Linked DNA regions of Ovis aries. The protein of the gene in region 1 interacts with the protein of each later gene in a biochemical or structural test. Links are inferred from orthologs where the notes say so. Each region holds a gene or a part of one and is shown in the gene's direction. Other genes may lie near its edges.

Evidence for each region. The genes of interacting proteins can lie anywhere in the genome.
Region 2: the proteins of UBXN2B (region 1) and PPP1R11 form a complex in vitro, tested with the Homo sapiens proteins (2 studies listed by BioGRID). The link is inferred for Ovis aries from reciprocal best matches to the Homo sapiens genes UBXN2B and PPP1R11.

What each region holds. Positions count from the first base shown.
Region 1 is NC_056062.1:37,584,364-37,591,963, forward strand, and holds the start of UBXN2B (UBX domain-containing protein 2B), read left to right. Parts: upstream 1-3,601; 5' UTR 3,602-3,624; coding exon 3,625-3,708; intron 3,709-7,600. UniProt on the Homo sapiens protein: Adapter protein required for Golgi and endoplasmic reticulum biogenesis. Involved in Golgi and endoplasmic reticulum maintenance during interphase and in their reassembly at the end of mitosis.
Region 2 is NC_056073.1:27,941,100-27,948,853, reverse strand, and holds PPP1R11 (E3 ubiquitin-protein ligase PPP1R11), read left to right. Parts: upstream 1-3,302; 5' UTR 3,303-3,512; coding exon 3,513-3,581; intron 3,582-3,609; exon of another isoform or gene 3,610-3,804; coding exon of another isoform or gene 3,805-3,816; intron 3,817-4,641; coding exon 4,642-4,750; intron 4,751-5,185; coding exon 5,186-5,388; 3' UTR 5,389-6,437; downstream 6,438-7,754. Other genes in the region: RNF39 (RING finger protein 39), read right to left, coding at 7,245-7,754. UniProt on the Homo sapiens protein: Atypical E3 ubiquitin-protein ligase which ubiquitinates TLR2 at 'Lys-754' leading to its degradation by the proteasome.

The sequences.
Region 1 (7,600 bases):
CACTAGCCCACCAGGGAACTGCTCCAATCCTAATCTTGATTATCTGTAGGAAATGGCACTGTTAGTCTCCTCGAAATTGCCTTCTCACTGGTCTGTCCAGCCTCTTGTCTTCATCCTTCCTCTCTGACTACTTCCAGCGTCTCCTCTGAATATTCTCCTTTTACCCGCTGAGGCTTTCAGGGTTGTTTTTTTCCGAGTATTCTTGTTCCTCGAACTTTATCACATCTCACGCTTTTCCAAAAGCCTCAGCTACCCTGTTATCACTCACGGGCAGTCAACACCAATTCTCTATCTTCAGACCAGAATCCTCTCCTCGCCTCCTAGTATCTAGACCCACATTTGCAGTTGCTCCGTGAAGTATTTTCCTCGTGTCCCACAAAAATTTCACGTTCAAAATGTCCATAATACTCTCTTCCCTTGTGATTTTATGACTATGTTTAGTGTGATGTTTGGAGTCCTCCTTCTTTGTGTGTGTATCTATTACAAATTTTAGGTCCTATGAGGTTTACATACAGGCACCTATTATATAAATTAGAAGGGATGATTTTAAGCTGATGATCTCCAAAGTGACCTTTCCTATTTTATTTTATATCTATGCAATTTGATAGATGTTCACTAAACCTACTGGGGTAAACATTCCATGATGTACATAAGTCAAATCATTATGCTATACCCCTTAAAGTTACACAGCACTAGGTGTCAGTCATATCTCAATAAAACTAGAAGAAAACAAAGCAAAACAAAGCCATAACGTGTCCATAACAAACTTGTTTCTTTCTTTTGAAGTCTGCCTCTCCTTTTCAACTCAAAGATTTGGCTGTGTAGCTTGTGTGATCTTAGTTCCCTGATCAGGGAGCTAAGCTACATAGCCAAAAAAATAATGTTCTTTAATCTTGCTCATCCCTCACTCTTGTAATAACATGCTAATTTTGTGATTCTTACTCATCTTGCACACTGAGGCATCTGTTATCTTTTTAAATCACAAATCACTTAATGGCTCCCAATTGCCTAAGACCAGTGGTTCTTAACCATGGCTGTGCAACAGAATCATCTGGGGTGTGGGGTTCAACCAATTGTATAAATGTATGATTTACATATAATAAATTACACTCATTTTAAGTATATAGTTCAATATGTTTTTGACAAATACACACACATGTATGTAACTATCACTACCAATAAAGATATAAAACATTTTCATCACCACAAATAGTTCCCACATATCCTTTGTCGGTCAAATTCCCCAAGTTTATCATTTCCCAAAGAGTTGGCCCCAAGCAATTTACTGCCAGCTTTCCATCAGTAAAGATAAGTTTTCCCTGCTCTAGAATCTCATACACATTGAACTAGACAATATTTACTTTTTTGCATCTGACTTCTTTTACTCAAGATCATGGCTTTGAGATTCAGTTATGGTGTGTGAATCAGTAATTTCTTCCTTTTTACTGTTGAGTAGTAGTCTGTGCTATGAAATTTCTCAAAATGTTATTCGTTCATTTGTTGATGGACATTTGGATAGTTTCCAGTTTGGAGCTATTATGAGTAAAGCTTCTATGAATATTTAGATACAAATATTTTCATCAACATATGTTTTCATTCCTCTTGGGTCAATACTTGGGAGGGTCAATGCTGGGTCTTAAGATAAGTGAATACTTAACTTTAGAAGAAACTATTTTCCAAAGTAGCTGCACCATTCTCCATTTCACCAGCATTGTAGGAGAGTTCCAGGCAGAAAGCCAGGACAAACATAGCTCATCTCGCTTGTTTCCCTTCTCTGGCACAGCACAGATCTGTACTGCCTGTAGTTCGGTGTCTGAAAATAATCGTTTCATTTATTTTGTCTAGTGTTTTCATTGTTGGGAGGGGAAGGCAAATCCAGTATCAGGAACACTGTCATGGCCAGAGACAAAGTCCACATGGGGAGCATCTTAAAAAATATGCCTGACTGGGCTCCCATACTAACTAAATCTGAGTTCCTGCATTGCGAATGGGAGGGGAATTCTCTGTGCATGAGCCTTGAGAATCATTGGCCCAGTGCATAATATTTGATCTTTTCACTAAGGCGAGACCCCTCAGCACCTGTCCTGCATCTCCAGACTAGATGGCAATCACATGCTCCAACCCCAACCATCTTTTATCATTTCTCCTAAGGTTCAGCCATGTGGTATTTTACCAGCATGAACATGGTATTTCAAACCCATGTCTTTCCCTGTGGTCCTTTTAGGTTCAAAGTTTATCAGGAGCACTTATCCTTCAAGACTGGGGCAAAATGCCATTGGCTTTATGGGATATAAGGAAGATCCAGGGATTTCTAGGGCAGAATGTTGTACTAATTGAAAAAGACGGTTGTACTTATTGGACAAGATGTTGGACGAGATGGTTGGATGGCATCACCGACTCAACGGACATGAGTTTGAGCAAACTCCTGGAGACAGTCAAGGACAGGGAAGCCTGGCATACTGCAGTCCGTGGGGTTGCAGAGTGCGACACGACAGAGCGGCTGAACAACAAATATTGTACTAAAAAGAACATTGGGATAACCAACAAATGCAAGGCTTATCCGCTACCACCATTCACAACAGGGTGAATTTAGTGGTTACTTGTCATCAGTTTTCCTCGGGTATAACACGGAATAACAATACTCACCTAGAGCAGTAGACAAGAGAACACAAAGAACGCACCCAGCACGGTGTACGCAGCAGGTGCGAACAGAATATTTCGCTTCACACCCATATTCCACTCCTAACATTTCCTGCAAAGTTTCACTGCAAATGGCATTTACTCTGTTTATATCTCTTTTCCTCCGCTAGACTGTGAGGTTTATAATGACCAGGACTACTTCCTTTTCACTTTTGTGTCTGGGGTCATAGAAAAAACCTGTGATAAGACAGGAGTTTGAACAAATAACAGATGAATAAAGAGAATTTAGGAGTCTCTAGCTGTAATCGCCGGAGAAGGCAATGGCACCCCCTTCCAGTACTCTTGCCTGGAAAATCCCATGGGCGGAGGAGCCTGGTGGGCTGCAGTCCATGGGGTCGCGAAGAGTCGGACAAGACTGAGTGACTTGAGTTTCACTTTTCACTTTCATGCACTGGAGAAGGAAATGGCAACCCACTCGTGTTCTTGCCCGGAGAATCCCAGGGACGGGGGAGCCTGGTTGGCTGCGGTCTATGGGGTCGCACAGAGTCGGACACGACTGACGCGACTTAGCAGCAGCAGCAGCAGCTCAATCGCAAAGAGAGTTTACGGGGTTCTTTCTCAACAACACTTCACGCTTTGGGGACGACGCGCCACCCAATCCTTGGCAGGGAAACGAGAGAATATGACCGAGATTGGAAAAGTAAGGTGGCACTTTCCATCAGATGAACTCTCCAGAAGTCATTGCCACCACTGGGTAAAGAAATCCGCAAGTCCGTGCTGCCCTTCTCAGAAGGGAAAACTCTGAGCCAACTTCCTTTAAGGAAAGGAGCAGTACCGGACAGGTGGGCGGGTGCCGGAAGAGGGGCGCGCGGGGGGGCGGGGGAGGCGGGGGCTCACAGGGACCGCCCCGCCCCGCCGTTGCCAGGCAACCGGCCCCGGAAGTCGCGGGAGGCGCGTCGGCGGCGGCGCCGGGAGCGGTGAAAGATGGCGGAGGGCGGCGGCGGAGAGGCGGGCGAGGAGGCGCCGAGGGCGGCGGGGCCGCGGCCCCCAAGCGCGCGGGACTTGCAGGTGCGGCGGGCGGTGCGGCTGGGGAATGTGTGGGGCCGTTCCGGTCGCGGTCGAGCTTCCTCAGACCCGCCCGGGGACCGAACTCGGACTCCGTGGGTCTCCCCCGGGCAGCACGCCGGGCAGGGGCGTCGGGAGAAACGAGTGTCGGCGCCCCGCGCTCTCAGGTGTCCCGGCGGCGTTTCCCCTCCACCCCTCTTGCCGTTTAAGAAGCATCTGTTGATTCCGAATGGCTTCTTTGAAGGGTCAGTTGAATGCTTCACTGGTTGACGCTCCGGTCAGACTTCTGCAGAAGGAAACTCTGAGGTGGCCGTGGGGAAGTCGAGTCACAGGGAAGCCGGTTTGGTCTTGTTTCTCTCGGATGCTGTTTCTGGCTTATTTAAATGTAACGGTTTGGTCTTGTTTCTCTCGGATGCTGTTTCTGGCTTATTTAAATGTAAAAATGGTTCCTTTTTAATCAGAGATTTTCCCTTTCAAAGTGAACTAAAAAGGTATTTCATCCTACGGCTCGCACCCTGGTCGGCTCGCACCCTGGTCGTAACTGCTATAGGGTAGAAAACATTGCATCTAAGAAACGGGGATGTAAAACTTTGTAATGTTACAGGACATTGACATTAATGGCCTCGATACCAGCGCCCCGAGTCTTGCTCTGCCAGGTGCTTCAGGCTACTCATTTCAGGGTGTTTTTTTTAACTGTCCCTTTGTAAGATGATTGATAAAATTCAAACAGTAAAGATCTCTGTGTGCTCAGTCGCGGTTTGCGACCCCATGGACTGTAGCCCGCCAGGCTCCTCTGTCCATGGGATTCTCCAGGCAAGAATACTGGAGTGGATTGCCATTTCCTTCTCCAGGGGATCTTCCCAACCCAGGGATCGAACCACCATCTCCTTCATTGGCAAGTGGATTTTTTTACCACTGAGCCACCTGGGAAACCCCAGATGCCTATGGGGACTATAATTAAACATGAATGTCACTCCATCTACAAGGCTTGGTAGAAAAGGTCTATTATAATTCTTTATTGTCACACCTTCATTCTGCTTCTTTAAACGAATGTATGTTGACCACCTGCCCTGTAATATACTACTAAGCTCTGGGAATGCAGAGATAAATAGTACATCAAATCCACAGTTGGTGCTGGAACACCGTGGAAGGGCCTAGAAGCGTGAAAGGCATTTCTACCCATTGTTTACCTAAATAAGATACACATGTATTTAACCTAACACTTTAAAGATGGAGGATGATTGAGTGCCAGGATAAGCAGTGCATACAGTGATGAATTTGGAGAATGGAGTAATCAGTGTCAGCTTAGGAAACGAACTCAGTGTATTGATAAAACATTTGCAGTATTTATGACTCAATTTAGTAGTGGTAAACAGAATCCAGGAGTAGGAAGGTTTCATCTCCCTGATCTTGTCTATTGAAGGCCAGCATCACTAAGACGCAGCATGTGCCCTTGGGGGAAAATGGTGTTCCTGGTCAGAACAACTTCAGCTTGCTTCTTGACCTTGGTGCTTAGTAGTTACCTGAGTGTAGGAGAAATGTCCTAACCTCTCGGATCCTGTGTCTTTATTCATAAACTCAGGATTGTTGATCACAGGTGTCAAGGATGAAATAAAGGAATGTCTATAAAGTGCCTCTTCAGTCCAGTATTACCCTGGCTCAGACTTGCTTACTAAATACTTGGTTCTTTTTCCCTTAAAGGAGAAAAATACTGTAACTTTCACTGGTTAGTCCATCTAATGCTATTAAGTTAAAACTATGTGACCTAATATCCTTTGTCTAATTTAAATCTATTTCTTCTTATGTGAAAAATGAGAATAGCTTGGTTAATGATCACCTCATACTTGTCAAATTTAGACTGAGTCCACTGGATTGATATGATTAATTGTTGGAAATGTTGTAGATATCGCTAGTTTTGAGAATGCCTTCCTTTCCACCATCAATTAGAAAATAAACTCTTTTTTTCCAGTGTCCTATCTACTTTTCGGTAGGTAGATAACTGATTTTTTTTTATGAATGTGATTTGGCATTCCAAATACATTAAGTATTGATAATGTTTATTTTAGAATTTAATAAGAATGTGAAGAATATGCAAAGAAACCCCAGAACAAAAGAACCAAAGTAATGACATATGAAGAAATAGTGTGTATCAAAGGTTTAAAAGAATTGGATAATGTTCTCCCCAGCTGGTTTCTTGGATAGTGAATATTTTTGGATTATCTTTTTATTGTTTAATCTAGCTGTGCTTATTTTAAGCATTACCCAGTTAGTTCAGTTTTCAGTAGATACTTCTTAATTTCCTGACAACTTGCTCGAAGAGTCTTTCACAGTATTATTGAGGAGAGAAAGGTGGTGTGTTACTAATTGGAACAAGCAGAAGTACTGCTTAGTGCCTATTTCTCAGCTGCCGTGCAGTGTAGGGTTTGTCAGCCTCTAAATTAGGAGAGATTTCCTCATTTACCACACCAGGAAAGATGGATGGTCGGCCCCCAAAAGCCTCCCAGCGCAGTGAGCCTCTGACTCTAAAAGCAGAAATTTCCTGTGGGTCCCACATTAAGAGTAGATTTTATCTCCCTTCCTCCTCCAGAATTGGAAACATTAAAGGGGGAAGTTTGGGACAGGAGTGTTAGTGACAGTGTGTAGGTACTCAGTCGTGTTCAACTCTTTGTAACCCCATAGACTGCAGCCCGCCAGGCTTCTCTGTCCATGGGATTCTCCAGGCAAGAATACTGGGAGTGGGTTGCCATTTCCTACTGCAGGGGATCTTCCCTACCCAGGGATCTAACTCGCGTCTCTTCTATCTCCTGCACTGGTAGGTGGGTTCCTTTCCTCTGCACCACCTGGGAAGCTCTTAAGTGGCACTTGTTGTTGAATCACTCATTTGTGTCCAACTCTGTGACTCCATGGACCACAGCACGCCAGGCTTCCCTGTCCTTCACCAACTCCTGGAGCTTGCTCAAGCTCATGTGCATCGAGTTGGTCGTGCCATCCAACCATCTCATCTTCTGTTGTCCCCTTCTCTTCCTGCCTTCCATCTTTCCCAGCATCAGGGTCTTTTCCAATGAGTTGGCTCTTTGCATCAGGTGGTCAAAGTGTTGGAATTTCAGCTTCAGCATCAGTTCTTCCAATGAGTATTCAGGGTTGATTTCCTTTAGGATTAACTGGCTTGATCTCCTTGTAGTCCAAGGGACTCTCAAGAATCTTCTCCAGCACCACAGTTCAAAAGCATCAGTTCTTTGGCGCTCAGCCTTCTTTATGGTCCAGCTCTCACATTCATACGTGACTACTGGAAAAACCATAGCTTTGACTATTCAGATCTTTGTTGGCAAAGTAATGACAAAGTGACAGTACTCAGCCCCAAGACCTCAGTGTTCGTTAGTAGTTCTGAACGTCCTCAGAGCCCTTTGTCTCTTGTCATGCCCTTCCCTCTATCCACACACATGGAGTTAACAGATTAGGTACACTCTGTTCCAGATTTCCTCCAGAATGATACATATCAAAAGAGAAAGATTTCTGTTTTTATTTCTTTGTTTCCATATAGGTTGGAGTTGGGGAAAAATTGGGGCTAACTTAAGTACTTACCAGGGTTTGGAATAGGCTTTGGATGGGGCAGAGAAGAGAGTTCCGTCAGTGAGAAAAGAGTAAGACTGTCTGGGACTTTCATCCTCTTGGTGTCAGTGTCCCTTATCCTTGGTTCTCAGTTTTGACGTGCATCAGAGTCACCTGAACGGTTTGCTCAAGCAGATTCCTGAGCCCCACCCTGAGTTTCTGATTCTTTTGGTCCAGGGCAGGGTTTGAGCACCTGCAGTTTTAAAAGGCCCCCAGGTGATGCTGATGTCGCTCTTCTAGATTTAAGTCTGTATTATACCTTCTGGGCTTCCCAGGTGACTCAGGG
Region 2 (7,754 bases), on another chromosome or scaffold:
CATTGGTCTTTTCCAATGAGTCAACTCTTCGCATGAGGTGGCCACAGTATTGGAGTTTCAGCTTTAGCATCAGTCCTTCCAATGAACACCCAGGACTGATCTTTAGAATGGACTGGGTGGATCTCCTTGCAGTCCGTGGGACTCTCAAGAGTCTTCTCCAACACCACAGTTGAAAAGCATCAATTCTTTGGCACTCAGCTTTCTTCACAGTCCAACTCTCATATCCATACATGACTACTGGAAAAACCATAGCCTTGACTAGACGGACCTTTGTTGGCAAAGTAATGTCTCTGTTTTTGCATATGCTATCTTTTGGTCATAACTTTCCTTTCAAGGAATAAGCATCTTTTAATTTCATGGCTGCAATCACCATCTGCAGTGATTTTGGAGCCCAAAAAAATAGTCTGACACTGTTTCCACTGTTTCCCCATCTATTTTCCATGAAATGATGGGACCAGATGCCATGATCTTAGTTTTCTGAATGTTGAGCTTTAAGCCAACTTTTTCACTCTCCACTTTCACTTTCATCAAGAGGCTTTTTAGTTCCTCTTCACTTTCTGCCATAAGGGTGGTGTCATCTGCATATCTGAGGTTATTGATATTTCTCCTGGCAAACTTGATTCCAGCTTGTGCTTCTTCCAGCCCAGCGTTTCTCACAATGTACTCTGCAAATATAGGAATGCATTTTCTTCAGTACATACAAGTACTTTATACGCTGCTTTCTTTACCTAAAAAACTCATTCGTCTGCTTGCCTGTTCTTTACCACTCTTTTGCTCCTTGAGAAACATATACTTATTTTTATCTTACAAACTGGCTTATATTGTAATTTATGATCTTCCAGATGTTCAAGCTGGATTTAGAAAAGGCAGAGAAACCAGAGATCAAGGAGCCAACATCCACTGGATCATCAAAAAAGCAATAGAGCTCCAGAAAAAAAACATCTGCTTTATTGGCTACGCCAAAGCCTTTGACTGTGTGGATCACAACAAACTGGAAAATTCTTAAAGAGATGGGAATACCAGACCACCTGACCTGCCTCCTGAGAAATCTGTATGCAAGTTAAGAAGCAACAGTTAGAACTGGACATGGAACAACACATGGTTCAAAATTGAGAAAGGAGTATATCAAGGCTGTATATTGTCACCCTGCTTAAAACTTATATGCAGAGTACATCATGAGAAATACTGGGCTGGATGAAGCACAGGCTGGAATCAAGATTGCTAGCAGAAATATAAATAATCTCAGATATGCAGATGACACCACCCTTATGGCAGAAAGTGAAGAGGAACTAAAGAGCTTCTCGATGAAAATGAAAGAGGAGAGTGAAAAAGTTGGCTTAAAACTCAACATTCAGAAAACTAAGATCATGGCATCTGGTCCCATCACTTCATGGCAAATAGATAGGTAAACAGTGACAGACTATTTTGGGGGGCTCCAAAATCACTGCAGATAGTGACTGCCCCATGAAATTAAAAGACGCTTGCTCCTTGGAAGAAAAGTTATGACCAAACTCGACAGCTTATTAAAAAGCAGAGACATTACTTTGTCAACAAAGGTCCATTTAGTCAAAGCTATGGCTTTTCCATTAGTCATGTATGGATGTGAGAGTTGGACTGTGAAGAAAGCTGAGTGCCAAAGAATTGATGCTTTTGAACTGTGGTGTTGGAGAAGACTCTTGAGAGTCCCTTGGACAGCAAGGAGATCCAACCAGTCCATCCTAAATGAAATCAGTCCTGAATGTTCATTGGAAGGACTGATGCTGAAGCGGAAACTCCAATGCTTTGGCCACCTCATGAGAAGAACTGACTCATTTAAAAAGACCCTGATGCTGGGAAAGATTGAAGGCAAGAGAAGGGGATGACAGAGGATGAGATGGTTGGATGGTATCACCACCTCGATGGACATGAGTCTGAGTAAGCTCTGGGAGTTGGTGATGGACAGAGAAGCCTGGTGTGCTGCAATTCATGGGACTGCAAAGAGCTGGACTCAACTGAGTGACTGAACTGAACTGATGACCATTTCTGTGTTTAATCTTTCTCATCTCCACCCCAGAGCAAGTGTAGGCAGTATGTGACTAAACTCAGTTTCACAGGTGAGTCTTCAGTTGAGTTCAGTTGCTCAATCGTGTCCGACTCGTTGCAACCCCATGAGTCACAGCATGCCAGGCCTCCCTGTCCATCACCATCTCCCGGAGCTCACTCAGACTCACGTCCATCGAGTCAGTGATGCCATCCAGCCATCTCATCCTCTGTCTTCCCCTTCTCCTCCTGCCCCCAATCCCTCCCAGCATCAGAGTCTTTTCCAATGAGTCATCTCTTCCCATGAGGTGGCCAAAGTACTGGAGTTTCAGCTTTAGCATCAGTCCTTCCAAAGAAATCCCAGGGCTGATCTCCTTCAGAATGGACTGGTTGGATCTCCTTGCAGTCCAAGGGACTCTCAAGAGTCTTCTCCAACATCACAGTTCAAAAGCATCAGTTCTTCAGCGCTCAGCCTTCTTCACAGTCCAACTCTCACATCCATACATGACCACAGGAAAAACCATAGCCTTGACTAGACGGACCTTAGTAGGCAAAGTAATGTCTCTGCTTTTGAACATACTATCTATGTTGGTCATAACTTTTCTTCCAAGGAGTAAGCGTCTTTTAATTTCATAGATGTAAAATGAGTCTTACATCTATGTTAATATTCTAATGTCTTATATTTTTGTTAGTATTTTTTCCAGCCTTCCCCATTAGTTGTTGTAGACTTGGAGCTAAAACGCAGACTCTGAGTGTTTCATGCGCCAGTGACAGGAAAGAATCCATATTGAAGGTGTATTAAGCGCCCTGCTCCAACCCCTATGGGCAAGAGGGAGGATTAAAAGTCTTAATCAAGTGTGTTTCCAGCTGCTCCCAGGTCCCGACTGCCTAATTCCCAGACAAAACAATAAGGAAACGAAGTTAGGCTGTGGTAGGATCATTACTATTGCCCCTTATTTTTTTCCGCCCTCCCACACACACACGCAATGGAATGGACTCAGCTACGGGACGTCTGAACCGGGTGCAGTACCCAGCCTTCAGGAACAGGCCCAGTTCTAACCTCCACCGCGGATTCCTGCTCAGTCTCTGCGTTGCAAGACCATGCAGTCATTGCTCGCCCCGCCTGCTGCTCCCGTACCAAAGTGACGCCTCTTCCGCCAAAGTTGTGTCGCCTCCTTGCGGCGCCTGCGCACTGTCCCATTACGGCGGAACTAATCCGGCGACCCGGCGCTTTGACGCATTTAGTGCCAGGAAGGGAAAAGGGGGACCACAGAACGCGTCACACCCGGAAGTAGGGAGCCGGAAGTGGGGTTGGACAGGTTATCCCCAGGGGTGGGGCAGCGGAGGCCCAGGAGGAGGGGGAAAAAAGAAGGTGGAGGATCCTGGCTGCTAATCTGAATCGATACCGATTCTCTTAGACCTCAGAGACACAGAAAAGACAGAAGGGTGCCTCATCCCCTTTCCTCCGCTTCTCTCTCTTCTCAGCCTTAGCCATGGCGGAGGCAGGGGCCGGGCTGAGTGAGACCGTCACTGAGACAACGGTTACCGTGACAACCGAGCCCGTGAGAAAGGCTGGGGGCGGTGCTGTTCAGGGGTCTGGGAGATACCGGGAGGGAAGGGATAAAGCTTTGGAGAGTTGCTGGATGGGCTGGGCCTAGGGATATGGGAGGAAGTGGGTGTGGGGGAATCGCAGAGTGTTAGGGATTTTTTGGTGTGTCAGAGTTGGTGCAGAAGGCTGGTCAAGTGACATGCAATAGAGTTAAGATGTAGGTGATACTGCTTGGGATGGTGGTGTCTGTAAGTACTGAAAGACCGGGAACTTCGCGATTAATGAGCAAGGGATGTGCTGGGGGAAATGAAGGGTTGTGTGAGAAAGCATGGTTGGAAACTCGCTGTAGAGAAACTTGACACTAAGCATGCTTATCAATAAATATTTCTTGAAGGGATTATTGCAAACGGAAGCAGAGGGAATGAGGGAACAAGAAAAGGGAGATTATGGGAGTATTTTGAAAAATTAGACATGTAGAGAAAAACAACATTTTTGCAAAAACATTGCTTTCAAAGGGAGATGTTCCTGTCGGGCTTAATAACCCTTTGATTAAGGGAGTTTAGAGTAATAGTTACTAGAGATGCCAGGATGCTGGAGAATAGGTGGATAACAGGTTGGGAGGGCTGGGCTTGAGGATGAAAGATGTGAGAATAGTCATTTCTTTAATGGGAAAAAGAACAGGCGTTCTGGGAAAAGAAAGGGAGATCAAAGTTTAGGGATTGGTGATTGAGAAAATAATTTCCATGTATTAACACCACCAAGGATAATTTGGGGAAGAAGACGGAGGAACAGCAAGGATTATATTTTCCTTTGAAGATTTGCTGGGACTTTCCCTAGGTTAGGAATTGTATCTTCTCTGTATACTAGTGGTTACTAAGAACAGAATTCCTCAAGGGACTCCTTGAGGTCAAAAACCTGTTCTGTTTTATCTTCTCCCAGCCTCAGCTCCTCTGTTGCTGTGTTTGTGATCCTGATTGAACTGGGGAAGGGAAGAAAGGAGGCCTCAGGGAGGAAACGGGAAGAGTTAGTAGGAGGGGACTAGCTAGGTATGCCTATCCTTCTTAACCTTCCAGGAGAACCGGAGCCTAACCATCAAACTTCGGAAACGGAAGCCAGAGAAAAAGGTGGAATGGACGAGTGACACTGTGGACAATGAACACATGGGCCGCCGCTCATCAAAATGTGAGTAATTGTTGCTCCACAGTAACACTGGAATCCTGGCTCCCCTCAGCATATCTTTTGTCTTCTGGCATTCACTGGCCTTCCCGAAGCCCCCAGATGCTCACAGTCCTGTGGCTGCCTTGGTGGTTCTCTGGTATCAAGGAGAGGAGGTTAAAGTTAGAGGGAAAGAGGTAGGGAGGGGCTTGAATTTCGATGTGCCAAGGCCTAAAGTCAAGAGGTATCTGAGGTGGGAGAAGAGGAGCTTTGGATTCCTGCCTGGAAAGGCAAGGTGGGTGGGTGACAGAGTCCCAGAGCGTAGGCCTGGGAAAGCTGGATCTGGAAGGTAGAAGAAGATAGTAGGAAATAGGAGTTTTGACTGAGATCCAGTGGGAATGGAACTGACGCTACATCTGAACTCTTCTTCCTTTTTCACTGGGCTCCTCCATCCAAATCCAGGCTGCTGTATTTATGAGAAACCTCGGGCCTTTGGCGAGAGCTCCACGGAGAGTGATGACGAGGAAGAGGAGGGCTGTGGTCATACACACTGTGTGCGGGGCCACCGCAAAGGACGGCGTCATGCAACCCCGGGACCAAGCCCCACCACCCCTCCCCAGCCTCCTGACCCCTCCCAGCCCCCTCCAGGGCCAATGCAGCACTAAATTCCTCGCTCCCCCACCATTCCTGTGTCTGTCTGGCCCTGAATGTACTCATGTGGCTACTCGGGGACTAAACCCACGATTTGATCCCTTCTCCAGCCCCCTCCTCTCCTCTCCTCTGCCTGACAGAGGGAAGAGGGAGAGGAAGGTGGACAGAGATCCTGGAATTCTGACTTGCTGCTATTCCAGAACCCAGGCTTCTGGGTTCCCCCAGCCCTCATTTCTCCTTACAATACCCAGCCTCCTCTCTCCAGGGATCCAGGCATCTTGATCCCAATCTTTTTCCTTTGTTCTCACTGCCAAACTGCCTGTCCTGGGATCCAGTTATCTTGGCCCCTTGCACTCTCTACTTGAGTTCCAAACAGCTAAATTGGGTTTCCAGCAGCCCCAGCTTTCACTGCCAGGGTCCTAGTCAGATTCCAGGCAATCTTGCTCCAGCTATGCTTGTTAATCCTGGCTTTAGAGCTCTTCCACTAATGTATTTATGTCATCCTAACTGTTAGTCGTTGCCTGTGGGATGTGAGGTCTTTTGTAAGACCTCAGGGCTCCTAGCCCTTTCTCTCCTCTCCTGCCCACTTCCCCCAAGCCCTTAAGAGGAGTTAGGAGAGAGGGAGGTCTTTGTCATTTTCACCTTTAATGAGAAATGGAAAAAAGAAATGGGCATGTCCTCTCCTCACTGTTCTCATGTGACTAGGGTTTCTGACAAAACTGGCTCCAAGACTAGTCACTTAGAGCCCACTATCTCCTCAGCCTTTGGTCTTCCAACTTAGGAGACAGATCCAACCCGGCCCCGGGGGCCTGGGTCCCTGGGAGAGGATGGAAAAGGGAGGGAGCCAAGAGATGCAATCTCACCCCTTCCTTCCAAGGCCTTGATGTCTCTCCCAGCCCAGACGTCCAGCCCTCCCAGCCCTCCCCACCCCTTATTGGGATCTGGATATCGTTTTCCAGGCCTTTTGCTGTGCACGGTTGCAGAGATCAGTCAAATCCATACCACCACTGAGATCTCATTTATTGCCACAAATGCACAAAATAAATAACCCAACATCACAAAATGTGTTAAATATGGACCCATTTATACATATGGGGAAAAAAGTGAGGCTATATACACAAGGGCAAATTTGGGGTGTCTGGGCCATTCCCAGGTTGAGAAAAGGAGAGGTAGCACCATTGGTTCCGTGTTATGAGTATGTACCATGCTCATATGGAGCTGGCTGTGGGGCTGGTGGGGGAGCGGGTTGTTGGTTAAGATTCTTAACAGGAAATGGCTGTAAGCATGGAAGGTCGTCAGGGTGAAATAGAACTGTCCTGCCCCCGTATCTCCAAAAAAAAGAGAGCCCTAAGGCCCCCGGCTGAGTTAAGCCTCTTGTTTTAGGGGAGGAAGGTCTCCTTTGTCTTGAAGAGAAACCTTAGAGTGGAGGAGGCAGGGAAGCCCAAACCTCAGAGCTGTGGAGAGGGCACCGTGCTCTTCTTTGCCAGGAGGAGGGGCAGGGGTGGGAGGTAAATATTTGACCAGCTGGCCCTCTGTGTATTAAAAATGAGCCATTTACCAGTACTGATGGGGCAGGACCTGTTCCCCAACCAAGCCTGGGAAATATAGAAGGGGAGGGATCCCTGGGGGAAGTACTGAGATAACCGAGGGGGAGGAGCATCCCGAGATGGAGGGAAGGAGGTTCAAGAACTCCGCTTTGGGCATGGATGTGGAAACAAGGCCAGTTGAGGTCCTATTTGGAGAATATGGAGGGAGGTCCGGGGTGCTTCTCAATACATTTGCCCAGTGGGCGTGGGGAGGATCCCTGGAATGAGTACGGATGTCCGTGCTCATTTGGGCCAGGCCAGAACGGGGATTGTGGGCTAGCTTCTCAGCCTTCCGCGGGCACGATGCGAAGCTGGGCGCGGGCGTCCCGGGTGCACAGCAGCGGGAAGACGCGCTCCCCGAGGGGACCGGGCGCCTGGAAGGCGAAAAGCAAGTCGAGGGAGCGGCCGTCGTAGAAGGCCACGCGGCCCCGCTCCCAGTCCAAGTCCACGCGGATGCGCCGCGGCGGGGGCCTGGCGCCGCCCAGAGGGGTGGGCTCCGGGGCGGTGAGGGCCCACAGCCGGCCGCCGCGGCCCTCCACGGCCCACACGGCGCCCGCGGGGCACAGCCCTACTCGGCCCTTGCGGCGCACCGACTCCCCGGCCGCGCCCAGGGCGTAGAGGCTCTCCCCGTCGTCCTCATCGTCTCCGGAAGAGTCTCCGAGGGAGGCGGTGTCGGCGGTCTCCACCTCCCAGCAGTGGCGGCCAGCCCCGAAGCCTTGCGCCCCCAGCACCGCTGGAAGCTGATCGAAGCGCGCCGGGCAGTCGGGGGGCGCCGGTGTCCCCGGTGGGGCCAG